3 linked regions of the Neurospora crassa OR74A genome follow. The protein of the gene in region 3 purifies or fractionates together with the protein of the main gene of each other region. This does not show direct contact. Links are inferred from orthologs where the notes say so. Each region holds a gene or a part of one and is shown on either strand. Other genes may lie near its edges.

Region 1 (4,391 bases), on a different chromosome or scaffold from region 3:
AGTCAGGTCAGGAAACGTGCTTTTAGCCATCGTGATGCATCAGATACGCTTCAATGAAGTAAATTCGCAAAAACAAGAGCGAACCCAAGAACGGCGAGAACTGACACTCAACGCTTTGTAAAATATGGCTATACCTGATGATCGGAACCTTGATAGGAGTATATCTTCCCGTCATCTATCCAGACTTAAGGGACTCTTCTCGAAATATTAGCGACACAAGTCGAATACTAACAGAGCAGACGTTCGGTTAAATGAAAATAGGTAATCTTCGATCTGTTGATGTGTTGTTCGCTCGCAATATTTCGAAGAAAATAAACTATGAAGGCAATGTTTAGCTTACACCAGATAGTTTAAGACCAGGAAGATTTCGCATTGTTTTTAGTTTCATGCTTGTCGTTGTAGGAGTAGTCTTGTAAGGGCGAAATATAGACATGATGTTCATTTTTTGCTTCAATGATGATTGAGACCATCCCCAATGCCCTACTTCTTACCCTGAGATACGTTTAGGCTGGGGACCCATCTTATATATAAGCCGAAATCGCCCTAAAATAGCATGGCTTGCTCACCTGTTCCATGAATCATGCCCAATTAATTGCTCATGATCAATTATTCATTGGTTGACCAAAGGTTGCCGATAATGATGGGCAGAGGGAGTCAATTCCATTCACCTCAAACTGAGTCATACGTTGGCAACGCTTTGACATTGGTATACCCTAGATGCAATCGTAAAGTGTCCATGACATTTTCCCTCATCTTACCCACCCCCTCTAGCACCAGCTTCACACGTTAGACTTACTGCCCACCTTGCAGCCGCCTAATCCTCTCCTCCGCCGCCCTCGCTCTCCTCTCCCTCTCCAGCCTCATCTTCATTTCTGGCGTCAACCCCTTCGCCTCCTCTTCCCTTCGTTCCTGCGGCGTCAGCTTCATCGCAGCCGCCAACACACTGCCACCAGCCTTCTTCCCATTCTTCGTCGCATCAACCTTTGGTCCCTCCTTTTTCAGCCTCTCCTCCTCAGCCTTCCTTCTCTGATCCTCCTTCTCTTTCGCTTCATTCTTTTCCCTCTCCGTCCTCTTCAATGCCTCGTCCCGCGATAGCGCGACGGGGACCCCGGCGGCTTCCCAATCCCATGCTTCCTCACCAAGCTCCGAGCGGGCAACGCGGAAAGCGTCGCGGGTGGCGCGGTCGCCAGCAAGCTCGAAGGCAGTCCTACCGTCGCCGTTAGGGATGGTAGGGTCCGCGCCGGCGCGGGTGAGGAGACCGGTCACAAGCGGCGCCGAGTTTTGGGATGCGGCCAGGTGAAGCGGCGTTGGAGTGTGGTGGTCTGCTGGGAAAAAGCGGAATTCCTTGAGGGAGATGTCGTTTGTGCTGAGGTAGGATAGAAGGGCGGGCACCTTTGAGCGCTTGACCAGGGCCTGGATCTGTTGGGTGTGCAAAAGGAGCGTCTCCTCTTCTTCTGAAAGTTTTGGTTTCGAAGCCGCAGCCGGCTTAGGGCTCTTCGGTCTCTTCGGTGACTCGGTAGTCGGAGCGGCTGCCTCGGGGACGATCTGTCGTACTTTCAGCCTGGTAAGCTCGATGAAGGCGCGCATCAGCTCGTTCTGGGTAGCTCTCCGGGTCATAAATGGGAAACCACGAATGCGGGGGTCGTTCGCCCGCAGGACCTGTCCGTCGTAAGGGCCGAACAATGTCCTCCTGTTGGTTAAGCCGGTGGCGCGGATGAAGAGCAGATCGGATGTGTCGATAAGTCCCTTCCATTCGGCCAACAGCCCGCGAACATCCTCGACGAGAGCCTGCTCGTTGTACCGACGAAGGTTAGCACCGGCTGAGTGGGCGGCGCCTTTGGCGTTGTCGTTGGCGGATTGCGAACCACCCTGCTTGCGACGAGTGGTGTATCTGTGGAAGGTCTTGTGCACTAGGACGACGGCTTCCTTGTTGAGGGGTCCGGTTGTTCCATGCTTCGTCTTCCGTGGGTTTAGCGAGACAACCATAGCGGCAAAGTGTCCACCGCCAATCATGCACATGAAGATGTGCTTGCCAGTGTAATTTGGTGGGATATCGTTGGCGTCCTTTGGCGGTTTGCCCATGGTGATGGGTGCCAGTTGCCTGGACTTGATAGCATCCATAATAGCGTCCTCCTTCTTCAGCTCTTCTGGGGTGAACATGGCTTTGTAGACGCCATAATAAGAGTTCTCGGGTAACTTCGGGGAGCTGAACCAGAGCAATGGTTGCGACCCGTTTGACGACTTCACTTTTTCCCCGTCATTCTCACCATCATCGCCACCCTCCTTTGTCATCTTTTCTACAATGTTGGCCTGCTTCTTCAGGAGGGCAGATAACATATTCGTATCCTTGTCCTGCCCCTCTTCTTCATCCTCGCTGTCTGAAGAGTCGGAACCTGAAATGCTTTCGTCGAGATTGTTGACGAGCTCCTCAAACTTGGCCTCGGTTACTGGGGAAAGACCGTTGAGTTTCTGTTTCAGGTTGTAATGGTGAAAATCGGTCTTCAAGTGACTTCGTTGTTCCTGGACGTTGTCGAACTTGAGGCTGCATAGTGAACAGCTGGCTTGCGACCCCGATGCGGTGGGCTCAGATGCTGTGGTATCGATTGTCTGCTTGGCGGTTTCGTTGACTGGCTCGGCTGTAATGTCCGCATCTGACTTGAGGGCGACCGTGTTCAGGATGTCGGCGTCGATGTCGTATAGATAGACGGGCCTCCGCTGGAGGTCTTCCTGTTTGCTGGCCATATTGTCGAATGTGATGAGGAAAGGTGAGCGTTACTGGCGTCTGGGAGAGGGAACGATGGCTGCTTCTGGTGATGAGTGGAAGCAAAAAGTTTTTGTAACGGCGAGTGGTTGAGAATGGGGCGCCTCTCTGTTATAAACCTTGTTTGCAAATTGTCGGGTCACCGTTCGATGCTAATGTTGATGTTGATGTTGGCCGTGACGGGCTTGAAAGCTATGAGACGTCAACTGTGAAGTTCCCTGGCAAGCATCAGTGGGGCATTCTTTATCGCGCTAGACATCGTTGGCCGATAAGAGTCATCTCGGGTGACGTACCTCTACCGATCCGATCGAAGTCACAGTTTGACCCTAGCGCACCGCCACAAGCTCCAGTAACCAAAGCGATACTGTTTGTAACTGTCTTGCTCTTTGTGGGCTCTCTCATGAAAATCCGAAAATATTTGGAAAAGAAGAGAAATTTTTTCAAGGCGTTGCCCAACGGGGTCGACACAAGTATATGTACTGCGAGCCGCGAGGTACCTTTCATTTGTTGTCCGGCTGAGCCCTAACCCTGACCGGCTTGTCGACCTAATTCTTGTCTCCTTGAGATTCATCGGACGCTGCGTCTCAGTCTCGAGCATTTTTCAACGCACTACCGGTAAATTGATGCCGCATGGTAAACGGACTTCGATATGTGCAATGCATACGACGCCTGTTTCAGCGCGATGCAAGTGAAGAACGTACAAGAGCGGATCAAATAATATGGTAGGTTCCGGTTCCAAAAAGGAAGAATACAATCTAGAGCGACTGGATCCAAGAAATGCCAAGTGCAGTTGTTCCACTCGTCTTCTCGCTTGGATGCTGCCTACCCTGAACAACAATCAAAAAGAGGAGGACCCTGATGGACAACAGCAAGGGGACGAGGCGACGGATAGTTTTGTTGTCCGCGAAACATTGACACCACGAGAATAGACATTAAGCGTCGGACTACATCACGACACCTCTCTCATCTTACATTTTCTTCACTTCCAGAAAGCATTACCTCGCGTGGCCCTGTGTAGCTTGTTGCATTGTTTATTCATCCTCACTCACCGTCACCCGTACACATTCCCCCCTTCCCTAAAATAAACAAAATGGCCTCCCAACTACCCCCTTTCCCACGCTTTGTCTTTACCAAATTCGAACCTCTCTCACTGTATGCATACTTCGCTCCTTCTCATCACATTTCACTCTCAGATAGAAACACTAACACCTCCCCACGCAGACTATCCGGCTTTCTCCCCGCCATCCTCTCCCCCGATTGGTTCACCCACGAACAACTCTCCTCCTCTTCACCTCTAATCGCCTATCCCACCGCCAGCCGCACCACCACCCGCCAACTAGGTAACATGTATTTCCTCGCCTTTCTTGTCGGGGTAGGCGTGCTGTACTCTTCTTCCGAGATCAGAGTCGTCAAAAACTACCTGATTGCTTTGTGGGTAGCGGATCTGGGGCACATGATGATCACGGCGGAGGCCCTGCGATGGGAGGGGACGATGGATGTGAGCGGGTGGAATGCCATGACTTGGGGGAATCTGGGAGTTACTGTGAGTTTTTTCTGAACCTTTCTTTCTTTTTTTTTTTTTCCTTTTTTTCTTCTTTTTTTTGTTTTTTTTTGGTATGAGTATCGTTTT
Region 2 (4,449 bases), on a different chromosome or scaffold from region 3:
GAAGGAAAAAAAGAGCCAAAAAGGAATGAAAAATAGAGAAGACTCTCCTCGCGCTGTTGGCAATGGGTGCAAAAGAAAAACAATATGCGCCAGCCGCGAATCGAACGCGGGGCCCATCGATGGCAACGATGGATTTTACCACTAAACCACTGGCGCCTCAATTGTAGATGACATATTGATACAGAAACTATGTTCATGAGCCACAATGCGACATGAGCAGTATCTTCAGCACTGTTAGACTAGGATATCTTTTCCATTACTCAACCCCTTTCGTCTTATTTGATGCCCAGTTCATGTCTATTTTCCATCAAAGCAGCAAAAGTCAACGCCAATGCGTCCATTGTATGTTCTCAATGTGTTTCGCCGAGGTCGGTCCAGAATGAAAGTTTCGCCGCAGATGAAGCTCCAAACCCTGTGTTGCCTTTTGTTGAAGGACCTGATCCCTCAGCTCCGTGCCTTGTGATCAGAGTTGATGGTGACATTATTAAGCCATGCGTATCCTCAGTCCACGTCCATCGAATCCTATTCGGGAGGTGGAGGCGGTGGCGGGCGTTGTTCGTTCAGCCTGACAGCAGCAAAACGCTTAGCAAGTGGTTCATCCGTCGAGTTGTGATTCCTTTGCATCAATGGGTGGTGGCTGAGGTAGGATCTGTCAACCGAGGGAAAACTAGCATCCTCAGTTCTGGGGCGCTTGGGAAGTCTCTCACCAGTGGATTCCAAGATCATGTGCAGGGTCCTCCACCCCTCTGTCGCCCGGAGTTGGAAGGCGTCGGCAAGGTCATGTTGTGTTGCTACGCGGCAAAGGAGTGCCTCCTCATCCTACGAGAAAGAGTCAGTATTCTGTCGGACCCAAGTGGAAATACGGTGAGCTGACCTTGGACAGCACGCTCATCTGCCGGATAAAGCAGAGCAAGTGGAAGTTGCTAACGTCGAATTGGTCGGACTTTTGGTTCACCTTAAGAATCTTTGCTACTGATGAGGCTTCCTGGGCTTCTCCGACAAATTCGCGATTGGCGATAGGGAAGCCGTCATTCGTGAATACCGGCCGGGGACTTTCAGGGAAACCATGGGTCAAGGTGACGAAGAGATACTCGACGGGAAATGCGGGCTTTGCATTCTCTTGGACATTTGCTCCGTACTCGTTGATCTTGCGATAGAACACCTCGGGGATGTATCGCGTCCTGCTGACTGAGCCATCGTCCTCCTCCTCTTCGCGCACCAACATTTGACCGGGGTCCGTGGAAGGTTCGATGATGTCTGCCCTGACCATCTCGACCGCATCGTTCGACATCTGATAGGCCGAGATCGAAATCTCGCCCTGCTCATTGCCAGAGATGACGCAAGTGACAAAGTTGGAGCCGAACCGGCCTGTATCGCTCCACTTGGTAGGCTTTGGGTGCTGTGCCTGGAGCCTCGCCGCAAAGCAGATCTCCTGAGCCGCGAGGAAGTAGGAATCGCTGTGTCTCTTGCAGATGGCACTTCCGTCACCCTTGCCAGCGTCCAGGAGATCCGTCCAGATCACACCCACAGGCTCCAGTCCGCATAGTCTTGCTACTTCGTTGACATCCTTCTCGTTTTCCCACGCGTTGAGAGTAACACCGTCGATCTCGTCAACCTGCGGTGGTTCGTAGATGGCTTCCACGACAGCCTTGACGCCAAGCGGAACAACATCGTATTCGAGATATTTGCCGTAGAGGATACCAAGCCGTTGACATCCCGTCATACGCCAGGGATTGAGGAACTTGTCGATGATCTGGGGCGTCGCGAACTCGACGTGGTCCACCATTCTGAATGGCTGGGGCTGGAGAGTGATGGCGCTGGGCTGGCATTTTGTGCAGATACCTTCGGGCCATTGAGGATGGCCGGATGGACAGTCCCGCTTGACTCTGTAATAGGGTTCGACAAGCGGGGGGATAAACGAAGCCCCAAGCTCGGGCTTGTTTGTCGCAGAGTTGATTTTGCGGAGGTATGCGTGTACTGACATGTACTTGATTTTCTTTTCCTCGAGATACTTTGCGTTAAACGGATCAAGGGGCATGCAGTAATCGCACATACCCTTGGGCCCGTGGCGACACATCTTATGATCGCGCCCCCTTGGGATCTTTCCGTCACGCTTGTCTAGCCGATCGTCCAGAGGCGACTGCCTCACCGTTTCCCACGGGTTCTTGATATGTTCATGCGGAGATGTCAGCGGAGGCGGGTCGATGGGCAAGTCTTCTGCAGGTAGGATCGGTTTGCCGTTGAGGCGGTTCGTGGATGAAAGCACGCTGGATTTGGTGGCTTCGCCGTTGCCTGGGCCGTCGGTCGCCGCATCGTTGTGCTTGTAGGTGACAAAAATAAGATCGCCATGGCTATTTTCAGGTCGCTAGTTAGTGTCTGGCACATAAATCGCAAGATCAGCGCGAGAGTTCCAAGGGGTCAGCTTGCCTGAGCCCAGTCTGGCCGACCTTGAACTTTGCGACCTCGCTGAGATTCTTGGCGTCGCTGCCGGTCGGATGGTTCGAGAATGTAATTGTTTTCGGGTCAACAGTCGGGGGAAGCTTGGGAATGAGTTGACGGCCAAGATCCGCAAAGGTGTCATCTTTCTCCAATGTCAGGCGGAGCATGCCATCGGGACCGCGTACCCTCAACAACATCGTGGGCGGGCTGAAAAAAAGGTGACGTCTGGGCTGTTAAAGGGTCCGACGGATCTGGTCTGTTCCTGTCGTTCGGCGAGTATAATCCGGAATCTGAATTTAAAATGTGTCGTAGGCGTCGGAAGTAGGGCGGTATCTATGAATAAAGCTTCTTGTTGCGCAAAATCTACAAGGTCACGCCAGGTCCTCGGACTCGGGGTAAAGGCACAACTGGTGACGGGATACGGGTGGTGAATTGTTGGTCGGCAGACGGGACCTGATCGAAGGGCGGGGAGCTCCACGCAACGCTGTACGATAGTTTCAGGCGTTCGTCATACGTGTGCCTGGGCGGCGGGAGTGCTGGGGCGTGCTGGGAAGTGCTGAGCAATCGAGGCATGCCTGCTGGGTTTCCAGAAGAGCCAAGAAACTCCCGGTCCCACGTCAGAGAGAGAGCCCAATGCCGGCCCGGCAATGCCCCGCACCCCTCAAAGACTTGGGAGTGACAGAAAGGGGCTGTCGCGGCAGGCATCGATTTCCACTTGCGGCATGGGCCCCTGCCACTCAGATGAAGCCAGCGCGCGCCAAGGGCCGAAATTCCATTGTCAAGCTCCCCCTGCCGCGCTGCACCGTTGCAGTTGTCAAGGTGTTCTTTCCAGGCATGGGCACTGCATTTGATAACCAAGGGAAGCACGATTACATTGCCGTCGGTGTCCATCACTCACACAACCGCAAAAGGCAAACGCATCCATCACCGGGCAACCTTCAGTTGCACGACGACAATCCTCACGCCACCTACCGCCTCTTGGTTCACTCTAGTCGCTCGCTTTCTTCCAGAGTAGAGAATACAGACATCATTTCTCGTCCGTCAATTTGACACACACTCCATCCCGAAACATGTTCAGCGTCGACTGGCGGGGGCTTGTGCTCCCCTTCGCCTATCTGATTGTCCTGACGGGCACCTTCATGACCTTTTCCACAATCTACCGCAAGAGGAAAGCCCGTATGCAACCCCCTACTCAGAAATTTCTATGCTTCTCTGGATAGAAGCCTAACCATGTTGATTCTTCCAGAGCAAAGCGCAAACCTCGCACCATGGTTCGGTCCTCACCTCCAACGCAACGTCTACCTGTCACTCCTCCACATGGAGCCCGAGAACGGATCCGAAAAGGCACCTAAAGTTCCTGAAAGTGTGCTCCGGGCGGCTCTGCTGCGCCGCGCTGTCGAAGACATCCACCGTATTATCCAGATCCGCGCCGCCAAGGCCGCCTGCAGCTCTCTTTTGCAGCGTGGAAGCATCGGCGATGATCTGTGGCAAAGGTTCCAGCGTGCCGAGAAGGAAATGGAGGAAGAGCTTCGTGATGTTGTTATGGAGGTGTGTGTTCCTTTGAAGAGGGTTACCCGTGCGGATGATTGGATGCCAGAAATGCTAATGCCCGATTCTTCAGGCCAACGCACTCGCTCCCAACTGGGGACAGAGCATCTTCCAAACCGCCAACGAGATTGCTGCCAACACTGTGCTGCGCGAGCGCCTTGACGAGATCCAGGCTCAGGCAACACAAGAAAAGGAGTGGTGGGAGAAGCGCAGGGCCACCGTTAGAAGCGAGTTCATGAAGGAACTGGAAGGGGATGAGGCTGGTACTGGTACCCCTGTGGACACCAGCTCAGTCACCTCATCGCCGTCGAACAAGAAGGGCAAGAACTAGAGGTCACGTCCTAGCGAGCGGTGCATGAGAGTGACGTGAGCATCTCGCATAGAGATCTCCGGGGTGGCTGTACAATAAGAAGAGAGGTATGGGAGGGCAGGGCAGTGTGGGGTTGTGTTGGGCAAGCAATT
Region 3 (4,317 bases):
CGATTTCTGGCATGGTGAAGGACTCAGCCAGGGTTTGGGTGAAGAGCTTCATCATGCCGACTGTCTCGTTCGCAAGCTGCATATAGGAACTGGCCTTGTTTTCCGCGTCGTGTAAATCGCTCTCCATCTTTTCGCGATCCTCTTGCGAAAGACTGGGGTCCTTTAGCTTTTGCTGGAAGTCATGGATCTTGGGGAAGTTGCTCAATGCTTCATCCAGAACGTATGTTGCATCGTTCATGAGAAGATTGACAAAACGAACGAAGAAGTCGCGGTCCACCCTAGGTCGAGTTAGTCGGATTCAGCAAAGAGATCGTAGGACAAAACATATACTGACCTGCTGGACTCTGTCAACTGCTTCTTGTAATGGTCATTGGTCCAGACGCACTTGATAACCTGGAAGATCTCAAAACGTATGTTGAACTTTTCGTAGAACGCGGAACTGGTACCATTCGACTCGCACTCAATATAGTACTTCATCACAGCATGTAGCAGGTAGTCATTCGCGAACTTGGTGCCGGTAAGGATGTCGCCAAGAATGCCCTTTTTAAGATGGTATGCCGGCCAGGTGCCCTGATAAAGGAGGGTAACCAGCGACGATTTCAAGTACGGGTTCTTGATGTACTCGGAGGATTCCAGAAACGTTATGCATAGAGCAACGACCTCGTCACCAATGGCCGAGACCATGACCTCTGGCCTATGGCGGAAGGTGAACTTCAAGTTATCAACAATTACCTGCAGAACATACTCGGGAAGACACCTGAAAGCTTCTGGCTGAGTTTCAGGCAGCGGAAGGCTGATTTTCTTCCATGGGACGTAGTCGGACTGACTGGCTACTCGCAGTAGCCACACAATCGTGTACTTCATGAACTGTAGTGACCGCGTTTGCAGCGTCTTGTCGGTCATAATGCCTTCGATGGCAAATTTGGCCGACATGGCGCTCTCCAGCATCTTGATCAGTCTCCTCTGCGCCGCCTCTAGCATAGGTACTCGTTCCGGATGATTGGCGACAATGTTGGGACGGTCAGCCTCCATAAGGGTCAAGTTCTTTTGGAAATGCTTAATTTGCTTGTCAAGTTCCTTTAGCTTGTTTTGGGTGGCTTCGGTGCCATACTGATGTGCCGCCAAAGCGAGGAAGAAGACCTCTGTTATAAAGTTGTTCTCCCCTTCGAGTTTTGTAGAGTAAAACGCGTCCGAGTGCTCTTGGTCAGCGTTGAGCTTGGTCTCTTCCTTGATGTCCAATCTGGGCTTCCGCCTGAAGTAGTCGACCTGAATACGGTCAATCTTGGTAAAGGAGTTATCCATGAAAGGCTTGCATAGATTGTCGAGGACGACAGTGACATTGACCATGAAGCCGTCCGACGAAACGGTCTTGGGGTCGACATAAGTGGCTGTGCGCTTATGGTTGACATTCATGATGTAGGCGAACCAGTCCAGGAGCTTGTTTCTCGAGCTAGTGCTTGCTCGTATGAAGGCATTAGCTATCGTCGTCAAGTGTTCCTGATGGGCAGCCAACGTCATTTGTAACGATTGTTGGGTTGTGCCAATTCGGCCCTTGTCAAGAGTCCTTGGTGCGGCAAAGTCGTAACTGGCCGCCTCTGGGTGTAAGGGCGACAGGCGGAAGAATGGCCCGAGCAGCGTGAACCGTTCAATGTTGGGGGCTGATTGCGCCATAAGGAAAGTAGGGTGTTCCGCCAAAGCGTTCACGAGAGCCGGATATCTCGAGTATGTGAAGAGGGCCTGTGAGGTTCCAACGTCAACGCTCAGCACAATTCGTTCAAGTCGCTTGTCAAACTCACCTGGACGTGCGGCTGATAATCGCCGTTCATGTTTTTGGTAGACAGCGCTGTGCTGATTTCCACCATGGCCTTGGTGAAGAGAGGTACAATGCTATCGTCGTCCTCGATCCGTGTCATGGCCTCGTTGTAAAACTCGATGTCGAGGCCTTCTTCCTTCGCAACACCTTCCAAAATGTAGGGGACTATGGTATCGTGCTTTGGGTTTGGTTCTCGACTTTTCAAATTTGGATCATGTCAGCTAGAGCAAACTGTAAAGAGGACACGGGGGATAAATACCCAAACATCTCGGGCATAGTAACGGCGAAGATGCAGTTCGAGAAGCACAAGCGCTTGGCCTCCTTGAGGGCTTCTTCCTTCTCAGGAGTCGACGCCCTCAATATCCTATATCTGGTGACCCGCTTCCAGCATGCCAGGAAGTATTCGAATAGGGGCTTGTGCGGCGGATAGATCCTTCCGGCCTCCATAACGGCCTCTTGAAATCGGTCGATCGACAGCAAGGGCTCCTGATACTCGCCCCGAATTTCCTGGCTGAGTTCTGGCAGAAAGGTCAAGTTATGGCCACTGCTATCGAAGGTCTGGTTCGGATCGAGAGACACGCGAAGGATGCTGGTGAGTAGCTTGTCGGTCCATTCCTCGAGCGTCTGTTCCCTGTATTGCTTTCGCGGTGCTGGTGGGCATGGAATATCATCAATATTTGAAAGGGATCTTTCTCTCTTTCGGGAAGCGGAACTACCTGGTGGTGGCTCTGGCACATCTCGTGACGCCGGCTTGATTATCGACCTTGGCTGAACTCGCGGTGCCTTGTCTTCGATCTTTGACGAACTCGCCGCCGCCGCCGCCGCCGCCACAGCAGCAGCAGCGGGAGGGGTTTCGGTGCCAGGCTGAGGCGTGGAAGAGGACGCAGCTGGCGATGTAGTAGAAGCGACATTGGGGCCACCGAGCTTAGCCAGTCGTCGGGCACGGATCTGCTCCATCGTCTCTTTATCAGGCGCATCCGGCGTGGCCGCCGGCTGTTGCTGATTCGGATCCATCTTGTCGTCGTCGTTGGGCGAAGAGGAAAGGGATTAAGGATGTACGGATATTGTGATTATCGTGACGGAGAGAGCCTAAGGAGAAGAAGGGCTCAAGCTGGCGGTGACGACGTAAAGCTGGATGTGCGTTGGGAGGTTGAGGCGAAGGATGAGGAGAAGGAGGATGGAGGTGACTGTCCGAAGCTGGAGGTTGTCTTCGGCTGCGGGTGCTCAAGGTTGGTACTTCGCTCTTGAGCTAACCACAGTAGTATGTGATAGTGCGGGTGCCAAAGTTAGGTAGTAATAAGGAATGACTCTAGCATACTCTAGCGGAAAGCCCTCGGATAGTGATCAGGAGGAAGTAGCAATTCCCATGCACCTTTTGCGCTGACAAGATTACGTTGACATCTGTGAATGTGACGTGGAGCCTGCCTGCCCCGAACAAGCCTACTGCATGGAGCTCCTGGAGTTCACAGGTTGGCGGGGTATTTCGGGACGTTACTTACATTTAGTGCTTTTGGCGGGACATGATTTACTGCACTGTAGGCAATACTGGTTCGATTGTTAGCTCCCGCGGGTCTTTGGATCAACTTCCCGTCCCTATAGCTACCTCTTAGACTATGCGTTTTCAGACTGGGAATATGCTTCCATTTCTCCAAAATGAAAGAGAACGAATTGGATCTTGTTCATGCCTTTCATTCAGTCCTTGTACGGTTTGGGACAATTCGGAAGACGGGAGATCTCGTCCAGTGTACCAGGAGTACCTCTAGGTACCAAGCTAACAAACAAACCAGCACCATTGTACTACATATGTAGTCTACCATAAGGGGTACTTCTATGTAGAGGTAACCTCGCAACCTAATGAAGCAGAAACGGGCTGAATGACAAGAAGATGATAACTAATTCTTCGTTGGCGTTTTTCATGGAAGGACCCTAGAATCACTAGTATAACGCTGGATGTGACAGTGACTTTCCTTCGCCGTAAATGCGGAATGCAGCTGTCATTGTTCAACTCATCTACATGAATAGGTAAGAAGATTACGGGGAGCCAACAAAGTCAAAGCATTCTAGATACTTTGAAAGCCGTCTTGTCCAAAACACCATGGGAAACAGACCTAGACCATGTAGCCGTTCTTTCAGTTGCTATTAGCTCTTTCAAGCGTGCCAAATTCCAACACAGAGGTTTGATTCGTCTCCTATATTCTTTGGTCTATAGGCTATCTAAGCTTTAGACCAAGGCCCGACGTTGCAATAAGACAACCTCCAAGTGCTTTCCCGATCCATCCCAAACGCCAACATACAAAACCTATGCATACCCGTTCTTCTCCTTCAGACCATTATGGTATGTTTCCAAAACCAACAGACACTGTTACTTCCGTTCGGGACGGCTCAGACACTGAGGCACAGCAGCAGAAATATATGACCCCAGTGTCTGCCCCAGGAAGGCGAACCCAAACATCCATCAAAGTCGAGGTGGATTCTCACCCCTCCCCACGCTACTCCTCCTCAAC

What was found.
Region 1: the proteins of NCU03357 (region 3) and NCU02147 purify together in Saccharomyces cerevisiae (affinity purification with western blotting; 3 studies listed by BioGRID, with this or other methods). This does not show direct contact. The link is inferred for Neurospora crassa OR74A from reciprocal best matches to the Saccharomyces cerevisiae genes UFD2 and VMS1.
Region 2: the proteins of NCU03357 (region 3) and NCU02680 purify together in Saccharomyces cerevisiae (affinity purification with mass spectrometry; 3 studies listed by BioGRID, with this or other methods). This does not show direct contact. The link is inferred for Neurospora crassa OR74A from reciprocal best matches to the Saccharomyces cerevisiae genes UFD2 and NPL4.

What each region holds. Positions count from the first base shown.
Region 1 is NC_026501.1:1,082,639-1,087,029, reverse strand, and holds NCU02147 (ankyrin repeat and zinc finger domain-containing protein 1), read right to left. Parts: upstream 2,953-4,391; 5' UTR 2,743-2,952; coding exon 793-2,742; 3' UTR 612-792; downstream 1-611. Other genes in the region: NCU16330 (hypothetical protein), read left to right, coding at 3,852-3,913, 3,983-4,304. UniProt on the Saccharomyces cerevisiae protein: Endonuclease that cleaves polypeptidyl-tRNAs downstream of the ribosome-associated quality control (RQC) pathway to release incompletely synthesized polypeptides for degradation.
Region 2 is NC_026501.1:3,179,368-3,183,816, forward strand, and holds NCU02680 (nuclear protein localization protein 4), read right to left. Parts: upstream 2,981-4,449; 5' UTR 2,637-2,980; coding exon 2,428-2,636; intron 2,352-2,427; coding exon 875-2,351; intron 820-874; coding exon 708-819; intron 638-707; coding exon 624-637; 3' UTR 566-623; coding exon of another isoform or gene 561-565; 3' UTR 58-560; downstream 1-57. Other genes in the region: NCU02681 (translocation protein), read left to right, coding at 3,510-3,615, 3,686-3,987, 4,061-4,318. UniProt on the Saccharomyces cerevisiae protein: Substrate-recruiting cofactor of the CDC48-NPL4-UFD1 segregase. Assists CDC48 in the dislocation of misfolded, polyubiquitinated ERAD substrates that are subsequently delivered to the proteasome for degradation.
Region 3 is NC_026502.1:987,938-992,254, forward strand, and holds the start of NCU03357 (ubiquitin conjugation factor E4), read right to left. Parts: upstream 2,828-4,317; coding exon 2,073-2,827; intron 2,011-2,072; coding exon 1,797-2,010; intron 1,738-1,796; coding exon 335-1,737; intron 279-334; coding exon 1-278. Other genes in the region: NCU03356 (hypothetical protein), read right to left, coding at 4,269-4,317. UniProt on the Saccharomyces cerevisiae protein: E4 ubiquitin chain-elongation enzyme specifically involved in polyubiquitin chain assembly.